Linked DNA regions of Caenorhabditis elegans. The protein of the gene in region 2 interacts with the protein of the main gene of each other region in a pairwise test. Each region holds a gene or a part of one and is shown on either strand. Other genes may lie near its edges.

Region 1 (7,200 bases), on a different chromosome or scaffold from region 2:
GGGGCAACAGAGGAGGTTTTTGCTTGAAAAAGCACGTTGAGGATATGAAATGTTTGACTTTTCAGTACAAAAAGCTATTATCGACTCCGTAGCCTCTTCATAATCCTTTCCGAATGGCATTGAAGTTTCAGTGCAGCTAGCTTCTGAAAGAATAAAATGCAATGGGTCCCCATGGGGGAGATACGAAGAAACTTACTGCAACATCCGAATTTTGTCTCATTATTGCTTATGCGTTTTGGAATATCTCGATAGCAAAACTCTCCATTCGGGCATTCTTGAAGATCAGAGCACCAATTGTCTACTATACTTCCGTCAGGACATTCTGAAACGAGTAGTTAAAAGGAAGGGATCTTTGGGTAGGCCAGTTCCGTTATCGTTTAAGATCGGAAATGGGTTTGAATCCCTTATAGATGTAATGCCAAAATGAATGCTGACAGCTTGAAAATTTAAAAGGCCAGTTTTATTTTTTGGTTTTCCGGGCCAGAGGCGGGCCACTTGACTTGACCTTCAGACAGCTCGAAATTTTCAAAAGTCAACACTTACTTATCGTCTGAAGACTTGCACTTGAAGCGAGCAACAAAATATCGATGATTAGATTTAGATTCATTAAAAATTTATAGATTTTCGTTCACTTGGATACGGAAAAAGTTGAAAGTAAAGTAAAGGCTCTGTTCGTGGCAAGATCTGGAGAAGTTCACGTGATTTTTCTTGAACTCTTTTTCAATAAAATTCAATAAAATAAGTTAATTAAGTTTTTTGTATATACTCAAACAAACATGTTTTAAGTAAAAAAAGAAAGTTTTCAGACCCAATCGCCAATCGCGACGGAAATATCAGAAATTTCTCTGTCAATCTATTTTTTGTCTGTCAATCTATTTTTTGTCTGTCAATCTATTTTTTCGTCTGTTAAAATATTTTTCGTCTGTCAATCTATTTTTCGTCTGTCAATCTATTTTTTCGTCTGTCAATCTATTTTTTCGTCTGTCAATCTATTTTTCGTCTGTCAATCTATTTTTTCGTCTGTCAATCTATTTTTTCGTCTGTCAATCTATTTTTTCGTCTGTCAATCTATTTTTTGTCTGTCAATCTATTTTTTCGTCTGTCAATCTATTTTTCGTCTGTCAATCTATTTTTTGTCTGTCAATCTATTTTTTCGTCTGTCAATCTATTTTTCGTCTGTCAATCTATTTTTTCGTCTGTCAATCTATTTTTCGTCTGTCAATCTATTTTTTGTCTGTCAATCTATTTTTTCGTCTGTCAATCTATTTTTCGTCTGTCAATCTATTTTTTGTCTGTCAATCTATTTTTTGTCTGTCAATCTATTTTTTCGTCTGTCAATCTATTTTTTTCGTCTGTCAATCTATTTTTCGTCTGTCAATCTATTTTTTCGTCTGTCAATCTATTTTTTCGTCTGTCGACAGACGACAATTTTTCCAATTTAAAAAAATCATATCTAGCTTTAAACTAACATTTTCAAAAATCCCTGTCATTTTGTTGCAAATTTTGTGGTCTTTCAGAATTTGGAAACCAAATTTGAAAAAGTTTCATATTCACTGAGTTCAAGCAGAAAAAGTGGAATGTCAGTCATACCGTTTAGTGGACAAATTCAAATTGAGACGTGTATCAATGTTTGAGACACACCTGAAACATGTTTTAGTCTAGGGTAGGGCTGTCTACGGTAGACGTCGCGCCTAGGCTCTATTTCCCTCCGACACCCTCTTCCCAACTTGACCTCCCGGAGACTATAGCTCGTCCAATTGGTCATTTTACTTTTTCGTCCACTCATTATTTCATTTTTTCTCTTCCCCTACTTACCTAGGTCTGGCTCGAAAGTATTTTAAGAATCTCAGTGGCCCTATTCGGGGAACCTAAGCCATTGCTTCTAATAAAATTTGCTTCTTATAAATTGCTTCTAATAAAATTGCATTCTAATAAAAAAACATAATTTATTGAAATTAATTATCAAAAAAGGACAGGTCAGAACAATGAAAATCAAATGGAAATATTGCAAAAATGAATATATTTTCAGATGCCGGTAGTTCCAGCCGAATTATTACATCTCATCGCATACAACGTGTAGACTTTGGCGCTGGGAAGTTCCATATAACCATTGTGAAGCCCGTTGAGTTGCTCCTTCTTAATTCTTCCATTAACATCCTTCATAAAAATTGTGAATGGGTGATTTGGAGCAGAAACGGTGAAAAGCACTGTTGAGCTATGGGCCTTCGATGAATCGTAGACGATTTCCGGACATGTAACTTGATAGAAACATTTTCCTGTCACGCAATACATATACTTCTCAATCTCCTTTGTGAAATCGTTGAAGACATGAATTACATAGGTTTTGATAGAATCAGCGTACTCTGCGTATAATGGACACAAGTGCCATTCCTCAACATTTAATGGGCATCCCGAACAGTTGAGTTGCTCGAATTGCTGTGTAGATGGGTTGAATGCGTACTTGAGATAATGTCCCAATCGACTGGAGAAGATATAGAGAGCACTCTGACTGTATGTTGGACACCAGCGGATTGTGGATAATGGAAGAGTACTGGATGGTTCTTGAACCATCTCCACACCCTCCAGCTCCTTCATCAAAAGAGTTCTCACTTCAACACTCGGAATCTTCACATACTTTCCATATCTGAACTCCAGCTTCTTCACACCAAATCGTGACTTTTGGATGATCACTTGATCATCTCCATCTCCATTGACTGCTGCTACAAAATCAGTGTTTTTCGGTCCTTGAGCTGGTTGCACCTCCGGATAGTTCACTTGCTCGAATCCCCCAGTCTTGAAGCTGAACATGTACTGCTCATCTTTTTGCTTTGTCACCATATTGTCCATGAAAATCACGAAATTGGAGATTTTCTCGTTCCAAACTGCACACGTGGGGAATAAGTGGTTTTCTTGAACTCTTGGAACACAGGCAAGACACTTGTGCTGCTCGAATTTCTCCTCTTGATGATTGTAGGTGTATACGTGAGAAGGTCTCTTCCAGCAATAGACACTGTAAGTTGTGACATTTCTTGATGTGCAATGACGGATCCTGATTGGAGAAGAGTGTTGTCTGTTGGTGCACATCCGAGGATTACATTCTGAAAATAATAATATGATTAAAAGATTTGTGGTACTTAATTAGTTACCTTGTCTCGCACCATATCCTGGGGCTTCGGACCAGACAACTGGAGCAGAGGTGGGTGCTGATTCCTGGGTAGTTTCTGGAGTTACTTCTGTTGGCTCTGACTGTGATGTAGATTCTACATTTGTGGTCGAAATGTTTTCTTCAGTAATCTCTGAGGCTTCAACGAACGCATTATTGAGCAATGAGTTCACTTCTTGACTTTCAGAATCAAAACAAGAAGCAAGTGTCTGAGAAGTCTGAAGTTCATAAAGCCTCAAAGCTTGACGATGAAACTCGACCATCTGTTTTTCGGAATCTACACCAGGGTGGTGTACTAGATCCGGATATGATGTGATGTCTGCAAAAAGATTTTATAATTAATTATAGTTTCGTATATTAATAAATATATTAAATTACCTTGGTTTATATCGGAACTTTCAGAGTTGAACCAAGAAACTGGGGCCGAGGTGAGCGGTGATGTCTGGGTAGTTTCAGGATCTAGTTGAGTTGCTGGATCTACATTTGAGGTAGAAATGCTTTCTGGAGCAATCTGTGAGGCTTCAGTGGTTTGAGTCGGTGTCTTCTTGGTACGAATGCCGGACAGATTCACTATTTCATTGAACAACGGGATTAATTCGCTGGATGCCGGCTTTAGCAGATCCAAAAGTTGATCTTCTGATTCCTTTAAACGACAGATCTCTGCATACTTTGAAGCACGCTCTTTGACATCTTTATCAGACTCCATCGGATATTCATTAAGATCCTTGCAAAGCTCATTGGTTGTTTTCCGATAAGCCTCTTCTACCGCTTCTAAGTGTTTCCTGCTTGCATTAACCGCTTCACAGTATTTTAGAAAACCAGTAGAAGCATGCAAATTCAGTACTGTCATGAAGTCTTTTCGAGCGTTTGACAGCTCGCGGCGCTTGGGAAAATATTCTGCGAAGAGCTGTATGGTAGCAGCTGTCAATCCAGTTGAGCGATCTTTTAATACCGCTGAATCACCAATCTTTGCATACTTCGAAGCTTGACGTTGAAGCTCTACCATCCGCTTTTCGAAATCTTCATCAGCGGTCGATTTCTTTGGTTCGGCAACATATTCATTTCGAACCAAGGGTGGTGGAAGTGTAGAGTTGTATCGTTGAGTTGGGATAAAAACTCCGTCTCTGATGGCTTCTTCTCGGAATTCGGCATCCAGAACAGCTTTTTTGGCGGCTAAATCTTGATCATTGGTTGAAGATGGATTGCTTTCTGAAATTAAAGGATTAGAAAATCTATAATCTTCAAAGAGTAATGAAAACTGACCTCGATTTTTAATAGAACAAGATTCCGGACTCTCCCTCACTGCATCCGCGAATGAACGGCGAACCATATGAAATTCTTCTACTTTGCTCTGATGAGCTTTTTGTGCCGCTTGAACATTCTTCCAGCATGTGTTAACAACTTCAAGGTGATTTTGAGAGCCAGTAGACTTGTGCATGTTTCTTGCAGCCACATAGTCTTTTTGTGCCTTTTCCAGATCTTTGACCATTTCAGAACGTTCGCGATTGAGTTGTGAGAGAGCAGATTTCAATTCAAGTGCAGAGTTGGAACTCATCGTTGGAGTTTACTTTCTGGAAATTGAAGATAATTAGAATCTTCTAGACAAGACAATACGACAAAACAGGTAACAGAAAAATAAGGAAAATAATTGAAAAAAGGAAAGAAAAAACCAGCTCACCAACCAGGAAGGGCAGTTGAAGATTGAATGACTGGAAGACTGAGTGGTAAGGTGCCTGAAATCTGTCAGACTCCATTTGCGCGTTTTGGGTTATCGATTACCCATAAAGTGATTTATCTGGACAAAGGAGGAGCCTGCCATTGTCTGAAAAGGAGACGATGGCAACCCTCTTATAGTGGAGTCCCAGGAGACCGAATATCTAGAAAAACACTGAGCATCTGTCAAATGACACTAATATTCTCCCACTCTTGCAATAAATTGGGACGTACAGTCAAGTCTGTTTTGCTGAATTACAGTGCCTTTTCTTTTAATGTTTCATCTTACTTTGCCAAGCAATTTCAAACTAGGGTATACAGTGCGTCCAACTTCTATAGCACCCCCCTCCAATTTGGCGGTTTGGAGCTTCTCAAAATATTTTTTGAAAAAGTGCTAGTGCAGTTCGATAGCAAATGTTGAAAAACCTATGCTCCCCAATTTTCATTATGATATCTCAAAAATCACAGGAATTAGGTCAAAATATCGGAAAAATGGCCGTCCAACTTCTATAGCACCCCCTCTGATTTTTGGCAATTTTCGGTAAAATCGGGGTTTTCTTCTTAATTAATAAATTTATTTTGTGAATAACTTTACAACAAAATGTTCAGACGGTTTCATTTTCACATTTAAAAAATAAATATAACCCCTGAAAACACGTGGAACGCCTAGGATTGTCCTGGAACGTTCGTATTTGCTTCAGAGGCCATTTCTCGGCTCCCAATGATTTTCGCAGCACCAAACTTGACCAAAATGATCTTCCCCACCTATTTATTACTATTCAAATAATTGTTGAAAACATTTATTCATATGAACCAAATGGTAAAGGGAGCAACTGCAGTGATTTTCAAAAGGCTTGATTTAACTATGAAAACTAGCGTTTGGAGGCGCAGAGCTGAAGGTTGGTAATACATTTTCGACTAAGAATTACTAAATTATAGCAAAAAAAAAAAATTATATTATGTGAACATCAAATCTGTGGAAATCCATGGATACATCAAATGCTAGACATCTACATTCACCGATTCAGGTTTTGTCTGTTAGCTTTTAGGTTCTTTGACCATAGAAATATTCAATGAGCAAATTCGCTAAATTTCAGTTGAGTTATAAATACAGCTAGAAAAATCGCCATTCAGAAAGTTATATCTTACTTTCGTCTTTAAAATTTTCGCGTGTTAGCTTGAGAAAAATACTTGCGGCCTCGCTTTGCCTTTGTCCTCTTTTGAGCGGTCTCATGAACTTTTCCGAATAAATTTTCGAAGACTTCTAATCAAAATCAAAGCTTCAAGGATATTTGAACCGGATGAGCTAAAATTCTGTACAATAGGAAGTCAAAACCATCAGCTCTGCGCCTCCAAACGCTAGTTTTCATAGTTAAATCAAGCCTTTTGAAAATCACTGCAGTTGCTCCCTTTACCATTTGGTTCATATGAATAAATGTTTTCAACAATTATTTGAATAGTAATAAATAGGTGGGGAAGATCATTTTGGTCAAGTTTGGTGCTGCGAAAATCATTGGGAGCCGAGAAATGGCCTCTGAAGCAAATACGAACGTTCCAGGACAATCCTAGGCGTTCCACGTGTTTTCAGGGGTTATATTTATTTTTTAAATGTGAAAATGAAACCGTCTGAACATTTTGTTGTAAAGTTATTCACAAAATAAATTTATTAATTAAGAAGAAAACCCCGATTTTACCGAAAATTGCCAAAAATCAGAGGGGGTGCTATAGAAGTTGGACGGCCATTTTTCCGATATTTTGACCTAATTCCTGTGATTTTTGAGATATCATAATGAAAATTGGGGAGCATAGGTTTTTCAACATTTGCTATCGAACTGCACTAGCACTTTTTCAAAAAATATTTTGAGAAGCTCCAAACCGCCAAATTGGAGGGGGGTGCTATAGAAGTTGGACGCACTGTATAATGACTTGCCTGTACGATAAAAGTTTACTTTTTTGTAGGGGTAAACAATGTGATCAGCTACCAGAATCTGAAATAAAATTCTGCCCAAAACCTCTGGAAATCTGTAACTTTTCTTCTGAAAAAGTATCACTGCTTTCTGTAGATAATAACTTTTCGCACAGCGCCCCAAATCGGGAGAGTTGTGAAAATCGAGAATTGAAAAGTCCAACGGAGCGCGCTTGCACACTTTTACGGTATTAAATGAATTTCACGCGAAATTTCGCGATTATTCGAGTTTTCAAGATGAAATTTGGAAAAAATAATTAAATATTGGGATTATTATTGCTTTAAAAAAGTTTTAAAAAACATTTTATTGAACAAATTCAATATTTGGTTGATTTATCATTGATTTTCGAACCGATTA
Region 2 (6,058 bases):
AAAATCAAGTGATAAAAGTGTGACATGGGTAGAAGGACAATATATTAAAAGATCAGATGATTTGTTGACAATGGGTCATTTAAATTACTGGAAATAAATTAAAGTTTAAGAAGAAATGTAGACGTTTTGATTGGTCCGCATTACACTGTATCGAGTGCAAGTAGAGAGGGCATGTTTGACAAACTGGATACATTTAGTGGGCGTGGCTTGTTTCATGCGAACTTTTGACTTTTATACCACCGGTTTGATTGAAAATTGATAAGATTAACATATTTATCATTATTATTTATTTAAAATTCATATAATCTACAAATAAAAAATAAATATATTTATTTAATCTGAATCCAGAGTTCGATTACCGGAACAAGAGAAAACAACTTTTTGAATATTTAGATTCTAGAAAAATTCTAAATATTGGAGATTCATTGTGTGATTTTGGTGTTTGAACATATCAAACATCTGTTTTTATCGTTACTTATCTTTTATGGTCTTTGAATTGAAAATGAAAAAAAGACAAAAACACGGTTATAACACGCAGAAGGAAACTATATTGTTATCTGACTCAAAAGAAATATGGTTTTTACTTTTTAATTTCAAATTTTAAAAAAATCAAAAGAAACCTGTGACCTGAAAACGGGTGATGGCAAGAAAATTGTCTTCATGTTCCAGTTGCTTCAATTTTTCGCTGGAAAATTATTTTGTAGGTTCTAGGCAATTGATACTGTCATGGAGGAGACTTGGAACTTGAAATGTATAAATTAAATTGTTGCGTTTGATTCAATTGTCTCTCATAGAACGTTTCAACACAAAGGATTTACCAAGAAGCTCCTTCACAACTAGATTTACGTTTGCATGGAAAAAAGGCTACTGTTTCTGTTAGTAAAATACTGAGCTTGTCTGAATAATTTTTTTAAGGCATTGATTAAAAGATTTGAAAAAACCTTGCATTGAAAATTGAACTTATATCAAGAAATCAAAAGGTTCACATGTGTTCATGTTAATTCAAAACCATTACATTGAAATTCAAAACTGTCCTATAATCTGTTTTTGACCACTCTACGTGTAAAATAAGCAAACTCATGACTTAGTTTTCAGTATCTTCTTGGGATTATACATTTTAATTTCGAGAACGGGAGGGCAAACGACTAGTGATTTACTATGCAGATTTGAATGCAAACCGCATGTTTTTTATTGGACTGTCCTAGAAATGTGTGCACTCAGAGGACAGTTTGAACATCACCTAGCAAGTTTTTGTGAATATAATGGACGATCTTAAAGTGGAGTAGGGTGAATGAAGATTTTTAAATCTAGAACAGTTTGAAGCTCAGAAATATTTTATATTTTCAAATGGGACTAATTCCTTTGTTTGAATTTCCTCCAAAGTGAGAACTGCAAGACAAATCAGCGATACCATCCGTACACTTGAAAATACTTGTAGACTCCGAAATCATTGCCTGTTCGTTTTTATTTTCGTTCATGAGAAATTCAATAAAATTGAAGTATAGGAAAAAAACGAGACTCTGTGTACGCTCAGCGGACCAAATAAATTGCGAAACTCACTAAGTTGCGTATTTTCAAACTGACGAATCTTGAAAAATACACATCTAGGAAACAAATGTTCAACTAACAAAATGCTTAGAAATATTTTTTATTGCAAAATACCAATTAATTGTTGAGTTGCACACAGTCAAACTCATTTTATCAGAAACCGCCGAAATTTTTGAGATAGTTTCTGCTCTAACAGTCATAACCCGATTTTCATTGAGTTTCAGAAGAAAAATTTTGCTAATCAGTAAGTAAAAAATATTTTGCCACATTTTTTCAGTTTTAAGTTTTTTTATATTTTCATGTTCAGCCAAGTTGCAGACCGTTTTCTGAAAAAATCCAATTTTCCCCATAAAACTCTTCATATTCAACGCAGAATCTTGAAATTTGGACGAAACATCGCACTTTTTGGTGCTCTATCAGGTTCCATCAAAAAAATTTTGAAAAATCTACAAATGTCCAAAATCGTCCTCCGCTCCGAAAAATGAAATCGGATGTTTGCCTTTCGGAAAATGACCAAAAAATGAAATTGGGATATTGGGGTCGAAAAATATGTTTTTCGAAAGCTGAGAACACGTTATTCACGAATTTCATGTTCATTTTTCATGAACTTCTGTTTTAAATGACCTGAAATTAAAATATGAAGCAAATTTTGTTCTCACGTGACATTTTTTTCGCTTAACAGCAACTGGAAACTCATTTTAAGCAAATAAAAAAAAATCACGTGGGAATGAAAATAGGGTCATGTTTTAATTTTAGGTCACTTCACAGAAGAAATCATGAAAAAAGAACATGAAATTCGTAAATAACGTGTTCTCAGCATTCTAAAAACATTTTTTTCAACCCCAATATCCCAATTTTACTTCTTAGTCATTTTCCGAAAGGCAAACATCCGATTTCATTTTTCGGAGCGGAGGACGATTTTGGAGATGTGCAGATTTTTCAAAAAAAATTTTGATGGAACCCGACGGAGCACCAAAAAGTGCGATGTTTCGTCCTATTTTCAAGTTTCTACGTTGGATATGAAGAGTTTTATGGGGAAAATTGGATTTTTTTCAGAAAACGGTCTGTAACTTGGCTAAAAACGAAGATATAAAAAACTTGCAATTGACAAAATGTGACAAAATATTTTTCATATATTATTCAACAAAATTTTCTTTCTTATTTTCAATGGCTGTTTGATTATTACAGGTACAACAAAAAAGTTCTCAAAAATTTTTGTGACTTTTGGTAAAATGGCTTTGACTCTGTGTAACTCAACACAAATTGGTATTTTGTAAGCGACTTTAAAAAAGTAACATTAAAAAAAGAAAACATATTTGTAATCATTTTGGTAGTTGAACATTTGTTTGTGAGGCGTTTATTGTTTGAGATAAACCAGGTTGAAGATATGTAATTTAGCGAGTTGAGGAAGCTTTTTTTAAAAATTATATGACGTGGTGAATTGATTATATAACCATTCTTACCTGAAAACTGTTTCAGAGCGCCACAGCTGCAAATTTCACACTATGATTAATGAATGTTTTTTTTAAGTGGTCTATAACTTTCTGATTTATTGTGGTAATTTTTCACACCTTATTACTCGTTTTTATAGTCATTCTTGTAATTTGCCGATTTAAAATTTTTTTCACAAGTTTCAATCCATTTCGTGACTCGAATCACACCTCTCATTATTTGCGTGTTCCTAATATGTCTGAACCTTTCTTGGTTTGATATGGAACATTATAAAAACTGATCTGATTGATCAAAGTGATAATATAGATAGCACGGGAGGATCAAAGTTTGCATTTGATGATATACACACAAATATGTGCTCCAAGAGAGAAAAGAGCAGGTGTCAGGTTTGGAGCACAAAAAGAGCAAATAGAAGTGGACGGATGCAATTGCGGTTAAGAAATAGAAAATGGACAATAGGCAGAGAAGACACATTTTTGTTATTGGTGTTCCTCAGAAATATTAGATTTCTGCTTCTTTGACAAGAACATTCTTGAAATTAATAATAGTTATTCTACATTAATATGCAGTTATCCATTATCGTCCTATTAGTTTTACCAATTTCTTCATATTCATTTATTGTCGGAGGATGTATTGGGCCGAAATCTGTACTCGAAAGGTTTCTCAATGATAAACAGAAAACTGAATTGAGAAAAATGGTTCATAACAAGTTTGATGGGTCAAATGCAGAACAGGCAAGTTTTATTTGAGTGACTGGTTAAATTTGAAATAAAAAGTATACATTCGTTCTTCTAGTTTGTCATCAAATCATTTTGAAACATTTGAAAAACTGAACATTTATAATACATGTCTGACGATTTTTTTTTTGAATGATGATCTGGAAATACATCTAAAAATGAAACCACATCGGTATTTACGATCAAATCACGGTACATTTCAGGTCCTTGAAGAATCGAATCGTTACGTGTATGGCCACGTCACTGAAGAACAATGGCATTCAATTGTTCCTGAATTGGCAGAATATCAAGCAAAAAAGCATGAATGCTCGGTTTACGCTCAACTTTTGCCAAAACCATTATATCAACAATTACTGGTATTCAGGCATTTTTAAGAAATACAAAAGTACTAATTTTCTAGAAATCAGTACTTCGAGCGTCTGAAATGGGTGCATCGAAATATGACGTCAAACGATTAGTGGATGATTATGTGAATCGGCTTGCCAAAAACGGTGTTCTACCTGATGTTATAGATAAAGAACCTATAGTAAGTACTACATTTAATTGTTGTCAAAAATTTTAAATTCCAGCTTCCACGTGTCACACTTCCGGAATCTGAAATAACATCACAATCGTATCGAAAATACCCGAAAAAACCGAAAGCAATAGGAAAAGTTGGAAGTACCGGTGGAAATAGAAATGGAATGGGTGCCATGTTAGTTTTTCAGATAAGAATTAAAATTTATTGATTATATTGCAGACATCCAACTCTGATCAGTTATCCAGAAGAGCAAAGAAAGACAAATAGTCGGGTTAAAAATAATAGGAGTAACTATCATATTGGAAATATTGGGAACATTGGTGGAAACATTGGAAATGGTCAAAAAATGAACAGGAATAAAAATGGAGGAAGAAATCAAGGAGGAAATCATCCGGATAATATGGGAATTCCAATGTTCCCCATTGCTAGACCGTAACCTTTTTCATTTAAAATTCTGCCAATGTTGCCTAAATTTATATTTCAGAACACCGTATGATCTTGCCGAATACATTGAACGAGGTTTGAACACTGGAAGATCCAATCACAGAACTCCACAAAATTTCCGAAGATATCCAGAACATGAATGTGACTATTATGCGGGACCGTGTGCCACATCATTCTAATTTTATTAATTTTTTGATAGCTGTATATTTTTCACATTTTCCTAATACGTGTAACTCAACGAGGGTGTCTCCGATTCCGCCTTTTCAACGACGTTTATGTTTCAATTTAAATAAACGTTAAATTCATAAAAAGTATTTTGTACCTCGCAAACACATATGAATATTTAAACCAAAATTGGAATAAAACATTATTTATTTTAGTTATTTCAGAATTATGCTTACAAATGACAAATAATTCTTGAAATCTGTTCAGCAACCCATTTTCCGTTAGAATCAGTTGCAGTGAAATACCAATCTGGGCTCTCAGCCAAAACTTCCAGGTAATTTGGATTTGGTCCAATCGAGACCACGATCGAACGGAAATTGTATTTTTGTTGAAGTTGATGCATATAACTGGATGCACTTCCATCAAATGCAGCTATATCACTAAAAAGGTAAAACTTTGGAATATGTAAATAGTTGTTATAATTGTAACTCACTCAACGCCGACGGTGACCAGGATATTAGTGGATGAAGTTCCTGGATCGCGTTCCTCAAGAATATATTCATATGCTCTGAAAATTTTGATAATGAAGAAGTCTACATTTCAAGCTTCTAAATTGCAAAAACCGGCTGTTAAACATAAAAATAAATTGAGTACCTCTCAATCTTTGGGTCAGTCAGAACCATAACTTCACTGTATAATTGATCAATATTTATGTCCAAAAGTTCAGTGCTCCTGAAATTAAAAAAAATAATTAGGACCAAAATTCAAGATAAGAACTCACGTAGCATCTGGATAATGAAGTATGTAATTTTCATAGACACCTGAATCTGGATATGGTACATTAATAGCTTGAGTGCTCCCATCTTCAAAATTGTAGTTTGTAGAATTGTAAAGATATTTCTGAATGAAATTAAGAACTCCCTGTGTTTGTGGAAGCTTTGTCATTTCGTAAGCCAACGCGATTTTTCCATTGAATTTTTTGGTGCATGGTGGGAAGTTCACTTAAAAATTGATTGATTAAATATCTGGAAATATAGTGGAAATCTGAAAATTCAAAATTTCGCGCTATTTTGGCAAGCTGGCTTGGGTGGTTTTGGAATATGTATGAAGTAATAGGTTTGTGTAGCCAGGAAATAATGGTTATCAGTTGAATGGTCTCAGTGCATTCATGCGTTGGGTTTTATAGTTTTCA
Region 3 (9,065 bases), on a different chromosome or scaffold from region 2:
TTTCAGATTTTCCAGAATAATTCTGAGTTTTAGCGTCTTAGTTTTTAAATAGAACTAGCTATCAAAATTATGACAGCATTGATTTTTTTGGGCGAGTTTATTTTTCCCAACTGTGAAGAAAACACGATCTCGAAGATTTCCCCTCATGATTAGCTCCTATGTACATTTTTTAAAAAAATTCTCTATTGAAATACAACTTCCTAGCTCAATTCAACAAAAACGTTTCCGATGAGATCCATGAATTTCAGTGAAATTTAAATCGAGCCAACCTAGTTTAAATTTCACTTTTTTTTATCTTACTGATTTTACCCAGGCACAGAAAAGGTATTTAAGATAAATGGTCGAATATTTCATTAACTTGCATTGCAGTGGCCGGAAATTAAACGGAGAAAGAAAAATAACCGAAAAAAGTCAGTTGATATACATTTTTCTCCTTTCCTTTTTTCGGTTACTGGAACGTTTTTCAATTTTGAAACTACGAAATTACGTTGAACAAAAAATTGTTGTTAAACATTCATAATATTTGATGTGTAACTTTTTTTTTTGATTTGCTTGCCGAAAGTTGAAAGTCGAAGTCGAATGAAAAATTATTGATTTAAAACCTGTGATTTTGTTCCCAAAAATTTAGTAAAATGACTTAAAATTGAAATTTTTTTTGACGTTTAAACAGATACACTACACGGTACTTATTCAGAAACCAGATGTGTGTTAAGAATTCATCAGTTTTGGTGCTCCAAAAAACTATCAAAAAATATCAAATTTTTCGAAGTTTGATAAGAGGCAAATTTGCCAAATTTGCTTTTCTCGGCAGATATTGGAAAAAGAGAATTTCCGAATTTTCCGAGCTCGGCAAACTTTGACATTTGCCGCATACCTCTGCTTTGCAGTTTAGGTCCTAGTTTTAAGTTTAAACGAGTTTTAGACCAAATTGCTGTTTGAGTTGGAGAGGTCTTTAGGATAATATATATATATATATGATATTGAAAGGTATTAAAAAACATGATGATAACCAGAAATGTACCTGCTAACCCCTATTATTTGCAAGTGACCAACAAAATCCGTTCATTCAATTGATACTAATTTTGGAGTCACTGATGCACATAAATTTGCACTTTTCTTGATTCTGACTATGAATCGAACGACAAAAGCCATTTATTGTATCGTGGGAATATGTTCAAACTGAGAAGGAGAGTACAACAAAATGCCAATATTATCACTCACATAAAACTCATGTTGACTTTCTCTGGTTTTGACGTCTTTCTATTTACAATTACTAGACAATTAGAAAGAAAGAGACCTCTGGATTTTTAATTTTAAAAATTCAAATTCTCATAATAGACAGCATTTGTTTTTTTGTGAAGTTTTTTCCCAACAAAAGATGTACGCGGAACGTTTTCACAAATTGACATTGTTTTGTTTTCCCTAAAACCATTAACTTCCGACATGTCTCTGTTGGCTTTTCTTCTAGTCACCATCAAGACGACATAACATTTCAATGTATAAAATGGAATTAACAAATTTTATTGAAACTTCAATTTTCTCTTGTAGTTTTGTATCAAAGTGCCTAACTTTGTTTCAAAAAATTTCCACACTAACATTCAATCAAAGGTATTTTTAAACTTCGAGCTAGAAGTTTGTATTTTTGTTTCAAAATACATCATCTTACTTTATTCTTTTCTAGTTGCAAAATCCTAAAGTTCAAATGATGCATAATTGAGTGTATGCTTGTTCAGTTTTGCTGCATATTACCAAAACTAATTATGCTTCTGATTGTTTTAAGGTTACAACACTTTGAATTTGCGTCAATTGTTTTACAATTCTTTATATAGATTTTTAATTGAGTTAAAAATCACCGACTTCCGTTTTAAAATGCCCCTATTCTTACAAAAATTTTAAATTGAATTATCCGCACAATTTATTGTGTGCCATGCCTGTTTATATTACCAAACTGTCATATTTTCTTATGCACTGTAATTTTAACAATGTAAAGTTTTTCACTCGACGTACTATTTTTTTTTGAATTGCAGTAAATTTTGCAATATTTTTGTTTTTGAAAAACTGGCAACCTGAGGAAAACGGAACTGTTTTGTAACTTCAAAGAAGCAATTTTAGAAATTTGCAAAAGTCTGAATTCTAAAATTCTAGTTCAAATCCTTGTGATGTATAAATTATCCTGTCATCTTGGAGATTTTGGATAACATTTTGAATGTATCAAAATGTTAGAATCTGGTTTCTCGTGAAAAATTAAATTTCATTACATCTCAGAATGTTTCACGATTTTGATCTACATCTAATATATATAACAGGTAAACTTGTTCAAAAATTGATTTTATAATAGTTTATATTATGGGCAGCCCGTGAAGCTTGAAATGAGTAATTTAAAAAAATAAATCCGCTGCACGTTTAGCTTAATACTTGAAAAAAAGTTGAACAGTTCTATCTCATCAAATACATCTTTAATCTCTTTTTTTTTGACTTTTGCTTTGTTGCCATAAAGCTATTTCAAAATTGTACCATATGGCAAATGAATGCTTTTAAGGTTTGTTGTTGAACAAGAATATTCGTTAGCCCTCTTTTCGGAAATGTATGCGCTTACATATGATCTTTCAAAACTCCGCCTCTTTTCTGTCTGCGCCATAGCTTCTCTGTGCTCTCTTTTCTACAGTCAAATGTCTTATGCTCATTTTTTTTCAGTTGTGGATCTTGATGTCTCCTCCTTTCCGTTCTCTCGATTTTATTTTTTGCTATTCTTTGGAAAGGCGTCAATTTATTATAGGCAACGCGTGAGCTAAATTTTGAACTTTAGTATAAAAAAAGCGACGAAACAATGCGATACAAAAGCTTGTTCTCATTTACAAAACTGACATTTTACGTAGAGACTCAAGTCTTGGCAAAATTTTAATCACACGAAATTTTATAAAAGTCTGAAAAAAGCTGTGAATAATTTAGATAGCCTCGAACACATGCAGAAGTGTGCAAAACTGATAGAATGCTAATATAATGTTTGAAAATTTTTAACAGTGTGTACCTAGATTTAGTCACTAAAGTATGTGCTATGTTACAATTCTTCTATTTTTTTTTCATATATCCTTTTATTCACTGGTGGGCCATAAAAATATATCTCAGATTGATCATATTTAAATCTCAAACGATGGAAGCCAATTCTAACAGAATAAGCTTTGTGAACCCAACTCAGACCCCACAATACGGTTTAAATGAAGAATTCAAAGGAGATCCACAGTCAACGATTAAAAGTCCAGAAACGCGGGTATGTTTTTTTTCAATCTTTTGAGAGATATAAACTGTGCTTGTTTTAAAGTAAATGGAAAAAATATGAGACATGGTCTTGCGAGCATTTTTTGTTTTTGCCAGTTTAGTGGGGATGAATGTTTACCACTGTCCTTAATTTTGTGACAGATGTTCTTCCTCGTACCGCACCGGCACGAGCACTGGCCGGTGTTTTTTTTTCAAAATCTCCACTCACACTAAAACATGAATAACACCAGTTGCTTTTGTTGATTAATGCTCGATTTTCAAGTTATGCAAAAAAAAAAATTAAGGGACTTAATGAAAATGCGTGCAATGAAAATGAAAGAGTATTTTGCTGTGCTCACATGGAGATACAGAATATCATTGGTTCATCCTCACCCAAAAATTTAAAAATTTTTAATTTATAATATTTTGAGTGGATTTCCAGCTTCCTGCCAAGTATGAACGTTTTGCTCCACAGATGACTACATACTACACATTCCCTCCAGCGAACCCGGCGTTTTTCTCGCAACCGATGTATCCCCAAAGTTCGTGGATTCCGGAAACTCAAAATCCTTTAGTGTATTTTCAAGGTGCTCCCGTGGTGCAGGTAATTTAAACCAGATAATTATAAATTTAAATGTTGTTTCATGTTTGAATTCAGGATTATTCTACATTTTCATCAGCCCCATACCCATCTCAACCACCCAATAATTGGAATGTTCAGGTTCGGACTTTTATTGACACATTTCGAAATTAAAATGTTACAGAATTTTACAAGCTACCAATATGCAAACCAAAATCACCCAGCACAACTGCCACATCAAAAATACTACAATTCCGAGCAATATGCTTTACAAAGTCAGGTAAAAATCAGAATTTCAATTGAGAACAATTACGTGGCATTCCACATTTTTTAAACCTACCATAATCAGACCATGGACGGAAAATTTATTCAGCCATGTAATCAATACCAAATGAACAAGTTGTGTTGTGTATCTCCTCCTTATCAGTACCAACCAAGGACTCCAAATGCTCAAAGCTCGCCGAACCTGAAGGACCTGAATTATTTGGATGTAAGAAAGAAGTTTAATGTTTTACAATTAAATTGAATACGTTCAGTAAAAAAGTAGTGATTTTGGAAGTTATTGTAATAAAAAAAATAGGTCGGAATGAAAAATATAAAAGGTTGACTCAGAAAACTCGAAAGCTGATGCTCACTTAAAAAAAATCGGAATTTTCCTGCAATCGGCAATTTTGGCAATTGTCAGTTTTCAAATATTTTGGCAATTTTGGCGATTGTCGGTTTTCAAATATTTCGGCAATCGGGGATTCCGAAAATTGCCGAAATTGCTGATTGCCGGACATTTTCGGCAATTTTCAAACATAATTATAACTCAAAAAATGAAAAAAAAAATCACCTTGTTAGTATTTGGTTAGTCATTTTCTAATAGATAACGGCCAAAACTTTCAGGATTTAAACATTTTAAGCTTGAAAAGAAAACATCTTCTTTTAAATGCATGTTTAGACTCAAAAATTTACAAAACGTATTAAATTTATGTTCCCGGCAATTCTGGCTTCCGGCAATCGGTAATTCCGACAATTGCCGGTTTTCAACATTTTCGGCAATCGGCAATTGCGGCAATTGCCAAAACTGCCGAAATTGGCGAAAATTCGATTGCCAAACGACAATTGCCGCCACCTCTGTTTCAAATGTAATTTTGCCCTTTCCGTAAAAAAATAATCAATACGTTCATTGTTCATCTCTCCTTGAGATCGTAACAAAACTACCTAAGTGAAATATAATTTTATTTAAATTTTAACTAGTGTCAAAAAAAAAAATTTCATGAAAATCTTAATCATCTTTACAGCATTTGACTCCGTTTTTATTCCCACCGGACATTACTTCTCAATACAGAAAACATAATTGCCGAGGAAACAACCGTAACTCCAAGGTATCAATATTGATTTATTTCATTTTTGAATTGAGTTATTTAGACTAGCAATTTCCGGAGAAACGACAGGAAAAACCAACATGGCCATAACCAAAACCGTTCAAATCAAGTATCCAGACAGCATTTGCCAAACAATAATGCATCATCTTCATCCTCCTCATCAGGTGTCGTTTCCGAATTACCGCTGTCTCCTAACAAGACTGAGCTTAAAATTGTCATATCTCATGGAAATGAAACAGTTTGTGTTCTGAAAACAAAAGGTAACAAGAGTCCGATACAATTTTTTTCTGTTTTTAAATTCATCTCTCGTTCAGATATTGATGGATGCAACGCTCAACAACTTTCGAATGTTGTTGAAATTCCTATGGTACTTGCTCCCTCCCTCTCAATACAATCTACTGACTCGTTCAACTCGGCTTACGAAGATGCCGAAGAATCTTTAATTCAACCACAAACTAAAAAGAATGAAGGTGACGCTTATGGAAAATATAATTCAACGCTCACAAATTGTCAAACAAGGAACCAATCGGAGAAAATGAAATCATCGCAATGCTTGATCGCAGATGTCGCCGAGAATGAGAGCCCGAATGAGACAGGGCCTGCTGAATTCAATATTTTTTGTACTGTACCGGAACAATCTTCTAAACGCTCAGAGCCCGACGTTATAGTTTCTGCTGCAAAATCAGTTACTGAAGTTGAAAATACAATACTTGCTGAACATGATACCGCTACTGCTGAAAACTTTTCGAACAACGATGAACCAATTCTTCTTAGCGTTACTAATCTTCACGATGAAACAAATAACAAATCAATAGATGTATCACTGAATCACCCATTGCCACCTTCGACAGAAACTGGAGTTGTCAGCGGCAAAGTTTCACAATTGGAGGCACCAATCAGTACAATTGTGCAGGAAACGATCCGAATCCTCGCCGAGAGAAATCTACTCCGTGACATCAATGACTTTCATCAAGAAATACATTTGAATGTCATGCAAGAAAATATTGGACAGTCTCTAGATCATGCTGCAATAGAAAATGAGGAACATCCAGAAACTGAAAGTTCCTTTGAAAGTTCAAGCGGGTAAGTTTTTTTAAAATGAAATTTCTTACGAATATTATGATACTCCAGTAGTTCCAACCCTTCTGTCCCCATTGAGATTGATCAAAAAATGCAATTCAACAAAAACAATCCATGGGAAAAATTGGAACAATATACTCCGTGAGTTTACAATAAATATTAATTGAAAACAAATTATTATTTTTGACATTCATGAAATTCAATTTAAGTTCTGAGTTCAACCGCCATTGTCATTAAAATTTCAGACCTTCAATCATTATAGTCTCGTGCGCAGATTCTTCACAAAGCCCACACAAAGCTTCGTAAGTTGACAACGGAAGTATTTTTTATAATGCACATCATGTTTTAGAACTCTCAAAAACCCCGGTTACGGCTGCTGTTCGGGCATTGGCAAGAAATCAAAATACAATAAGAAAGTTGACAAGAAAGAGTGAGTTGAACTAATGTGAAGAATGGTAAACTTGCATACAAACCAGACTTTTAGTCCTGAAAACGATGTTACAAGAATAACATAGGCATAGCTGTTTCGGAGTAAACCCCGGCCCTGATACTGAATAGGAACTAAAAAAAATATTTTACTTATTCACTCATTTGTTACTGAATCATTAACACTTATTAAAAAACCACCTGATCATGAGAATGCATACCGTTCTGGCGCGCGAATATCTCGTAGCGAAGGCACCTAAATCTTACATTTTTGAATGATATCTCGTTGCCGCTTTTTTTTTTCAGAAAATAGGCATTCTCATGAATTCGTGGTTTTTTAATAATTAATCATTCAAATGTGGCGAAAACATCTTGATAGTTTTTTCCTTTTTTTCCTGGGCAGTTATGTTGTCTGTGTACTCTACAGGTTCACTTCTCTCTACAGGCTCACAGGCCATTCTCGAGGGAAAACCTGTCAAGATGTTGTAACGTAGAAATTGAATGTATCAACTATGTTGGTGTAATAACTACTAACTAGCATAGTTGGTACATCATCAATCTTTATGACGTTGGTCGGAAGGATTCATGGCACTACTGATTTGACGTGAAAGTGGATAACGGGACTGAAAATAAATTTTACAGAGTTCTCCACTTGACAAACTTTCAACTAAACTAAGCAACGGAGCTGTGCGTTTCATTCTATCTGTTTTTGTGTTTTTTAGCTCATTCTCATTTTCCTGTATTCTTCAATTACTTTGTTTGTATAATTTTCGTTTAGCAAAATTTGGAATCCCAGTTCGAAATCCGGCCACACAAATCTTCTCTTCAACATTATGTGTATTCAACAGCAACCTTTCCATGTTTTCTCTTGAATATCAACTTTTTACGGTCAAAGTTGATCAAAATAAAATGTATCTTCTTGTGGATTTTTTATGAGCCCGAGTAGACTGTTTGAAAAAAACCTGTTTATTCACATTTGAATTCCACAGAGATCAAAAATCAATTATTATTTGTGGATACTCCTTTTTCCGCATCATTCAATTCTTCAGCTCGTAATAATTCCGTTTTCTGCCTCCATCTTCTTGGCTTACATGCAATTCCAAGAGTTCGGACAGCGAAGAATAAAAACTCAATCACGCTCATAATGCTTGCGCCTGAAAAATTCACTTTTTGAATTGCGAGTTACTCAAATTGTTTAAAATCACCTAAAAACAAGCCAGCTTGGCCACCCATATCGGCCATCAAGTTGAACCAAGAATACGACTCAGATTCTCTCAATATCTCATAGCTCATTTGTTCATAATAAATTTCAATCATTGCGGCGTGTTCTCTGAAAATCGATTTTTTGTCATTAACTGTCAACTAATTTATTTGAGAATAAATGTATTTTAGAAACAAAACCATTTTTCAAGTTACATGTTATATCCAAAAATTCTTTAAAAAAATGTTTTCTGATATTTGCCGAGACATGATTATTATCAGGTTTTTACATAGAGTTTAAAACAGTGCAAACCTTAAATAAGAATTGCAATCTTTTGAATGATTGTCACACGATGTTTGTATACTTCCGCTCGGCCACTTTGCTGCTGAATACGTTGTTGTGTATTGATCTTGCTGGCATGGCTGAATACATTTGCAGTGCTTCTGATTTTCTTTTGTTGACAATTTGGCACCTTCTGTCGTGAGGCAGTTTACTGTAAAAATTGATATTGTGAGTTAAACAATCTTTTAACACGAGGTGGGTCAAACACGGAACTTTGGCTAAGCCGATGTAAAATTTGGTCCGCTTTGTTCCACTTTAAGCTAAGCGTTTTCAACTTCTAAACTACGTTAGGAGCAATTATCAGGCAAGAAATTCCCACTAAATGTCGAATAGCTTTATCCTATTCACTCAACTACAAGTGTTTTACACGGAATCAATTCAATTGTCTCGTATCACTTAATCTTTTAACTTGTTCCGACTATCATTTCTTTCATTACACGAGTTTATTCTCATGAAATATTATTTAAAATGACATTAAAAATCTTAAAAACTTACAGGTTGTGGTATTAGTGCTGTCACACCAAGCACTTCTTTTCCAGGGTTTCGGATATCTAGGGTCCGCACAACCACACTTTGCAATTATTCGATATTGGTAGCAAGAACGAAAGCACCCCTTCAAGTGTATCATATAATGTAACATATCAAGTGAATCACTAAAGCAACTTACTTCTGGCTCATACTTATAACCTTTGTAAATACTTCTCGATTGTGGATTATCCTTTTGCAAGCAGTTTCCATATGGTTGAGGGAGACGGTTAATATTTCTTAGTGAAATACCAAAAGACGAGATGACGCCTGTTGGTGCAGAATA

The links.
Region 1: the proteins of C18H9.1 (region 2) and vet-6 interact in a two-hybrid assay, tested with the Caenorhabditis elegans proteins (one large-scale study listed by BioGRID).
Region 3: the proteins of C18H9.1 (region 2) and E02H4.2 interact in a two-hybrid assay, tested with the Caenorhabditis elegans proteins (one large-scale study listed by BioGRID).

The regions. Positions count from the first base shown.
Region 1 is NC_003279.8:13,267,518-13,274,717, reverse strand, and holds vet-6 (Very Early Transcript), read right to left. Parts: upstream 4,735-7,200; 5' UTR 4,719-4,734; coding exon 4,427-4,718; intron 4,373-4,426; coding exon 3,542-4,372; intron 3,483-3,541; coding exon 3,147-3,482; intron 3,099-3,146; coding exon 2,026-3,098; 3' UTR 1,936-2,025; downstream 1-1,935.
Region 2 is NC_003280.10:6,695,603-6,701,660, forward strand, and holds C18H9.1 (uncharacterized protein), read left to right. Parts: upstream 1-3,481; 5' UTR 3,482-3,563; coding exon 3,564-3,734; intron 3,735-3,940; coding exon 3,941-4,093; intron 4,094-4,137; coding exon 4,138-4,263; intron 4,264-4,306; coding exon 4,307-4,431; exon of another isoform or gene 4,432-4,476; coding exon 4,477-4,689; intron 4,690-4,741; coding exon 4,742-4,880; downstream 4,881-6,058. Other genes in the region: C18H9.6 (uncharacterized protein), read right to left, coding at 5,099-5,306, 5,360-5,434, 5,521-5,598, 5,648-5,811.
Region 3 is NC_003284.9:14,275,686-14,284,750, reverse strand, and holds E02H4.2 (MIF4G domain-containing protein), read left to right. Parts: upstream 1-3,124; 5' UTR 3,125-3,151; coding exon 3,152-3,268; intron 3,269-3,697; coding exon 3,698-3,859; intron 3,860-3,913; coding exon 3,914-3,976; intron 3,977-4,019; coding exon 4,020-4,115; intron 4,116-4,208; coding exon 4,209-4,325; intron 4,326-5,121; coding exon 5,122-5,205; intron 5,206-5,248; coding exon 5,249-5,465; intron 5,466-5,519; coding exon 5,520-6,288; intron 6,289-6,336; coding exon 6,337-6,426; intron 6,427-6,530; coding exon 6,531-6,587; intron 6,588-6,634; coding exon 6,635-6,715; intron 6,716-7,353; coding exon 7,354-7,387; 3' UTR 7,388-7,629; downstream 7,630-9,065. Other genes in the region: Degenerin del-1, read right to left, coding at 7,711-7,865, 7,917-8,041, 8,225-8,405, 8,750-8,867, 8,922-9,065.